Linked DNA regions of Callithrix jacchus. The protein of the gene in region 1 purifies or fractionates together with the protein of each later gene. This does not show direct contact. Links are inferred from orthologs where the notes say so. Each region holds a gene or a part of one and is shown on either strand. Other genes may lie near its edges.

The links.
Region 2: the proteins of PHLPP1 (region 1) and WDR48 purify together in Homo sapiens (affinity purification with mass spectrometry; 5 studies listed by BioGRID and IntAct, with this or other methods). This does not show direct contact. The link is inferred for Callithrix jacchus from reciprocal best matches to the Homo sapiens genes PHLPP1 and WDR48.

Annotation. Positions count from the first base shown.
Region 1 is NC_133514.1:105,898,683-105,902,337, reverse strand, and holds part of PHLPP1 (PH domain leucine-rich repeat-containing protein phosphatase 1), read right to left. Parts: intron 3,508-3,655; coding exon 3,307-3,507; intron 137-3,306; coding exon 1-136. UniProt on the Homo sapiens protein: Protein phosphatase involved in regulation of Akt and PKC signaling.
Region 2 is NC_133518.1:76,923,406-76,927,060, reverse strand, and holds part of WDR48 (WD repeat-containing protein 48), read right to left. Parts: intron 3,030-3,655; coding exon 2,951-3,029; intron 2,290-2,950; coding exon 2,207-2,289; intron 2,092-2,206; coding exon 1,962-2,091; intron 13-1,961; coding exon 1-12. UniProt on the Homo sapiens protein: Regulator of deubiquitinating complexes, which acts as a strong activator of USP1, USP12 and USP46. Enhances the USP1-mediated deubiquitination of FANCD2; USP1 being almost inactive by itself.

The DNA.
Region 1 (3,655 bases):
GGGAAAGACCTCGATGCAGTTGGAGTGAGCAATCACAGTGTGCATGCGCCTGCAATTCATGATCGTTGTTGGGATGGCTTTTAGCTTATTCCCGCTGAGATCAATTTCTTCTAGTTCCTCCAGTTTTGCCATTTTACTAAAAAAAAAAAAAAAAATCCATCAGGGAGGGAGTTATAATTATAAATCCATGTAAAAATAAAATAATATATGATGAGACTCAAAGAATGAATTAAATTGCTATGACTTTAAGGTTTCATTTGTAACAGTCACTTTTACAAACAAGACCATTTTTTCACTATCATTTTGGAGTACTGAAATATTTTAACACCTCTTTTCCCATTATAGAACAAAAACTATTAACTTCAACTCTTCAAATTGTCAACAAAAAGGAAAATGGATCCTCTTTTCCTCCTTAAAGTCTGTGTGGCAATTAAGTTACCCTGGCAATAATCATGTCACTGCATAGCTTGGTCTGAATGCTAATGAAAACACTATTTAAATGAGTCAAAAGCCAGCAATATAACTGCCTTAAAAGGGCTTAGGGAGTGTAATTTCTTTGTAGTGGCACTGAAAACTCATAATGGGAGGTAGAGAACAGGTCTATAGTTCATATTAAGATAAACTTTTTCCCCAAGCCCCACTCCCCCAATTCCTCTGACATCACTGATGAATACAGAGTAGTGGTAAGGGGCAGGGGGTGTGTTAAAAGCCCATTTGGATCACCTCTTGCACTTCTGGCAGAGCCCAAATTCACACCAGGGACAAAAGACATTTCTCTCTATTCTTACTAAACATCTACAAAGAAGGAATCTCTCCAGCCTTACCTTAAGAATACGTTCTAATGCAGTTAATTTAAATTTCCATTTAAGAATGTCTTTTATTTTTCAATCCTAATTTATAATCTTCATCAATAATTACAATTACCAACTAAAGAAAAATTCCACAATCACAGTTTCTTGCATTCTTTATAAATCTGAAAGAAAAAACGCCTCCACCTCTGCAATCACTGTACTAGTATCTGCCACTCTTGTGACTCTCTTTCCACTCCTGCTGATGCTAGACTCCAAGATGCATAAAATTCCCCATAGTGTGACTCAGACTCGTAAACTGAATAATTTAGTTTACAGTTATTGGTATCACTTCTACCTGTTATAGTTTCATTTGTCACAATACACCTTTAAACAATTTAACAAAAAACACTATTATTTTTCTGTCAGCTTTCAAATATAAAGATTATCTTACTTATCTTGAAATATATGCCTAAGATATAATAAGAACAATAAGAATTTTATTTTATGAAGCCAGACCTTTTATACCATAAACATCCAGTGTATCAGAATATACTACAAACAATATGTACACAGCCTATAAAGTAATCCATCTATGATAGCCTGAACTTCTAAGAATATTATTTAAATATGTTGTGATCATAATTTGAAAGAAATATGGTGATATGGTTTGGATTATTTGTCCCCTCCAAATCTCATGTTGAAATGTGATTCCGAATGCTAGAGGTAGGGCCCAGTGGGAGGTGTTTGGGTCATGGGGGCAGATACCTCATGAACAGCTTGATGCTCTTCCCATGATAATATGTGAATTCATACACTGTGCATTCACGCAAGAGCCTGGCATCTCTTTTGCCCCCTTTCTCACCATGTGACACAACAGCCCCCCTTCACCTTCTACCATGATTGTAAGCTTCCTGAAGACTCACCAGAAGCAGATGCCAGCACTATGCCTTGAAACTAATGGATAATGGCGCATGAAAGATGATTAAAAGTACAGAAAGCAGGCACCCAAAAGAAAAAGTTAAAGAAATTTCCAACTCTCAATATAAAAAGAAGGTGGCAAAAGATGTGAAGACAAAATGACTAGATGGTGGTCATATTCTTTAATTCAGCAGCCATGACACTGTGTGAGACATAAGGCTGAGGGAGACAGCTAGGTCACAACCCCAGCTCTGAAGGTACTCTGGTTTGTAGGGGAACTTCTGAGCCATATCACAATCCACAGGGTGACAGAATTCATTACTAGATGAATTTTTACAAGGTGTATTAAAAGCTTCTCTGCACTTAGGGTGGGTGATTACACTTGGCATGGGTCACTGGGGGTGTATCCTCAGAATCAGAGCTGATGATCCTTTCCTCTGCAGGCTTTAGACTATCTGAAAGATGACAATGAGCCCTTTCAGATAGGTTACTGTTAATGTGATTATCATGTTTTTTTCCTAAAAATATCATTTCCCCATTCCATAGTAAAGTAAAAGTACATGGAAGTAAGTATAAAATAGTTTAATCATTAATCTCAAATGAGGAAGAAAGTAAACATTAAGCCACAAACAGAGCAATACTTTAAGTCAACACATACATGTGCCTTCCTCCTTCTGCAAGGGCTTGAACAGACTGGTAGCCCTGAAGGCAGCAGAGGGAGGCTGTGAGAGTATTTTGATATGGCCCCAATGCTGAGTTGCAGTTACCAAGCAGAATACCAGAGGGGTTAGTGTTTGCTTCTTTGATGCGTGGGTGTGTGTTCCAAGTCCTAACTTGTTAGATGGATAAATGCCAATGAAGTGGGAACAGAGTAAATCCTCACAGCAGGTTCAGCACACAGATTCATTCAAAGTTACATATAATGTCACTGCTCCCTGAAAATTAGAAATTAAAGTAAAAACAAATTAAAAATGGACTCTTCTGAGAGCCATCACTTGCAATGTTACAGCTTCTACGGCAGTGGAGTCTACCACTGCGTTGTACATCATGAGTATAAACATAAAAGTTGGTAGATAATGAAGGATTTTCAGGTTCCTGGTTTACATTCCAATTCCCACATAACCGATTAGGTTGATGTTTTTGGAAACTTTATTATTTGTTTTATCTTTTAATATTAGGGTCTCACTATACTGCCCAGGCAGGTCTTGAATTCTTGAGCTCAAGTGACCCTCCTACCTTAGCCTCCTGAGTAGCTGGGACTAAAGGCACGCACTACCACACCAGGTTCTAGGATAATGGCTTTTCAAAAAATTAATCTGACTGGTTGAAAGAAGCAAAAGAAAAAACATACCTGCTAAATAACACATTTTACTTAAGAACATTGTTGTGATTAGGTCTTTGGACACATATGAGGAAAACGAATCTACTTCTCTTTAGGGAAATGTCAACACGGCTTATATAAAGGAAACCGTGAATGAAGGAGGAACAAGCAAATAAACCTGACATCACCTGGGAAATAAATACTTCAGCTTTCACCTTTCCATGAATACATTTTGAGAAACACAATTCAGAACACAGCTTTACGACTCTCCTCTACCTTGCTGGAAAACTCTGGAGGCGGTTGTAGGCCATGTGAAGAATCTTCAAATGGGGGTGTCCCGTTAACAAGGGCACACATTTGTCTGTGAGGCTGTTATTTGTCAAATACAACTCTTGTAAGATACTGTTTGTCTCTTCAGAAAGTGTGGCTGGAGGAAGGCTTTCCAGTTTGTTTGCAGATGCGTTCAGGAATCTTAGGCTACAATGACAAAATGCAACAAAACACCATTGAAAAGTCACAGAAACCCTCAACAAACCTCAAAGCTTTCATACCAGGCACATTAGAAGCTGGGACTAAAAACATGAATTGCAAAGACAAGCAAGTATTTGTATCTGTGATCCACTAT
Region 2 (3,655 bases), on another chromosome or scaffold:
TTAAAGAAGAAGCTATTGAGGATAAATGGAGCTAAATGTTAGCAAGATCATGAACTGCTTAGTAACTAGTCAGCAAAAATTACAGGTTTATTCAATTTAGAAAATTTTATCTTTATAAATACTCTAAGGAAAAGAAATCTACCTATAATGGAGACAATTTTAAACAGTATTATCAAAATTTACATATTTTTTGGATTTGAATATATACAAATACTCAATAAATAAACATCTGATAAATTGCAGTGCCACTGAAAAGCTATTCACTTAAAGGACATATTTTAAAGCTACACATGTGCCATAAATATGAAAAAAATGTTCAATTCACTATTTTTCAAACATAAATCAAAGCAAAAATACTGTTTCATATACCAAGACAAAAAACAAGGTAATACTTGATTCTAAAAAGCAAACAGTACAATGGCACTCTCATATATTGCTTGCATGAAGATAAATCAGAACAACCTTTTGGGAAGGAATTCAGACACTACACAGCAAAAATCATGTTCATGTCCTCAGTACCACTGAAGTGAAAAGAGCTGCATATGGAACTGTCTATACAGTATGACCCCAACTTTACAATAAACAAACATACTAAAAAGTTATGGGTAAATGAGTTAACATACATAGTGTTTAGAAAAATGTCTGCTTGAAGCAAGTACTCAATACATGTTAGCCATTATTAGTGTTATTTTTATAATTATGGTTTTTTTTTTTTAAAAAGCATGTGATATCTCTAAACAACTCTAAGCAAGATATATCCGTTATAGCAGAATCTCTAGCCACTAAGCCTAGGCCCTGACCTTGTGACAATCTGCTTTTTTTTGCTTCATTCCCTCCTGTTAGTGTTTCTTTGAGGCAGACCTTACAGCCAGAGAGTAAAAACCTAATGATGTACCATGACAGCCCCTAAAAGGGACCAGTTGATGAATCAGAGATAATATACAGGTGAAAAATCAAGAACAAGGAGAACAGAATGTTGAGACCTCTACATATTTCCTGGCAAACAAAGCAAAACAACATTCAAGAGATTATAAACGCGGCTCCCAACTTGCCCTTCTTGGCACATACTAGGTTATATTAGTAAAACTGTATTATCTATGTCAATGTCAACACTCCACAGAGTCATCATAAAACAGATCTATAATGTAGGGATCCAGAGAGTGCAGGCCCATGTTTTCAACGTAGACTTTCCAGGTCAGGCCTAGCCCAAAATGTGCTCCTAACAGCCCCTTCTGAAACCTGGCCTAGAGGACCCTAGTTGGTTGGGCCAAGCATGAAGCTTGATTTCAAATCTAGACCTGTATGAGCCTGACTTGGTGGTCTGAGATCTCTTAGCTGATGAAGCATCCATGCTGTGAACATCTCTGAATTGCCTCTAGAAGCACTCTACCCTTCTGGCCCTTCTGGCCCTTCTGGAATTGGCTTGATTCTTCAGGGCTGCTCTAAAAGGGCAGAAAATTGGACAAATTGGCACTGAAAACCTTTTCTTTCTTTACCTTGGGTATTTTTTCATTTTGGCCATTAACTCAAAAGCTCTTAATATATAGTAAAACTTCAAAAAGTCAGAAAATCGCCTACTTTGCCAGATAATCACCACCTCCTTCAACAATACCTGTTACGTGTATGGATTTGGACCAGGGATTGCTGTGGAAGATACAAAGTAGTGGTAAGACAGACTCCTCTACCCTGCAAGGGCTTACATTTTAGCTAGGGCGCTAAGACATGCACATGTACAAAAAATAACCAGGTTACACCTGGAGAAGTTACCATTTTTAGACTGCAATGAGGAACTAGCTCCTTCTTGTTCAATCATACTCTGGGGGGCTAGAACGCTGTAGGTAGAAGCACTCTCAAAATATGAACCACTGTCTCGATGCAAACCTATCAAAATGTTTTATAAACAATTCTTTATTGATGTTAACTTGGATCACTTTCAAACAAAGTTTTGGTAAATGCCTTACTTGTGACAGTGTTATTTGAGGCAGTCAATGCTGTTAGAGTGTTCACGTCCCAAAGGAATATCTGCCTGTCCAACCCCGCCGATGCCACTAATTCTTTATCCTTGGCATATGCTAAGGCCTTTACGTAATCCTGTAATAGAACAGAAATTCTACGATCTATTCTGCAGATCAGTAATAAAATGAGCCACACAAAGTACTGAGATCCCAATATTACACTGAAGACACTGAGAACTGTATTGTTTTACCTTATGTGTCCTTAATGTTGACATGCAAAATCCTTTATGTGCATTCCATACTTTTACTGTCGTGTCAGAAGAAGCAGATATTACTAGAAGAAGCAAAGAATTAACAAACTCTTTAGTAGTATGACTTACAACTTTGAAACTTATAACAATGTTAAACAATGTTAAACTTATAACAATGTATAACATTATTTCAAACTAACTCTTTTCTTTCTCTCTCTCTCTCTCACACACACCCCTACCTAAAAGCTCTTTCTAGAACCTACTGTATACTGCCTCAATTTTTTAAAATCTCAAGACACATGTTCAAAGAAAAAAAAATATTTTTTATAAAACCAGTGCAACTAATTTGATTGAGAAAAATTCCTGCAACTCAGACTGCAAAACCAAGGCACGGATCTCACTAAAATGAGAAGAAAAAGAGGTATTAATAAGGCTAAAAGAAGAATACATATAGTATGAGTCTATATACAGTTCAAATGAAGGCAAAACTACCCTCTGGTGTTCAGGAGACAGAAGACCAGTTACCCTGGGGCAAGGGGTAGTATCTGAAAGGGTGGCGCAAGGAGGCTTCTAGTAATATTCTGTTTCTTGATTTGTGGGTATTTACTTTCTAAAATTGTGTTGAATTGCAACTCAAAGTGTGTGTACTTTTCTGTATGTATATTATACTTCAATTAAAAAAAAGCTTATATAAAAAATGAAAAATATATCAGAAGCCTGATAACAATCCAAAGAAATACTTACATGTTTTCCCATTACAACAGAGTACGATGTCATTTACCCAGTCAGTATGGTGTTCCATAGATGCTATATATGGATCTTGCTGAAATTTAAAGAAAAATCATAAGAGTTTACATTAGAGAATGAAATATATTACAAATGATAGATACGGTTAAACTCTTCAATTAATGTGAGGCACTGCTCTAGACATTAAAACTAACACTGGAATTCTGAGTAGAATTTCACCAACTAGGTAATGCCTCCAGATAACTGATGTAAACAGTTTTGTTTCAGGACAGTTTTACTATTAATGAAAGCTTAGATTTCCAGGATAAAATTTCATTTTTTTTGCCTTGTGAAAGTGAAGGCAACAAGCTCTGGACTAGGCACTGTGTGTGACACAAAACCCTTTAAAAGGGTTCACTAGAAAGGACAGGACTTGCAGAAATCTGTCGGTTGGGGGGATTTGAATGAGTGGTGGCGGAGGCTCAACAGCAGACAGCAGGGGGGCCTGGTCTGAATGCAGAGGGAGAGAAACACTTCTGCTTTCAGCTTCCTATTGTGTTCATCTTCTGAGTTAAATGTTTTCCTCATGGTATCTATAGTCCTTCAGAGATGAAATGGAACCCAGTGGCTGAGAAAGGATGACCTGTGTCACCATTTCAATTAGGTAACTTGAGATACTACTCCTCTTACCTGGCTTAATAACCAGGAAAGGCCTTTTAAAGA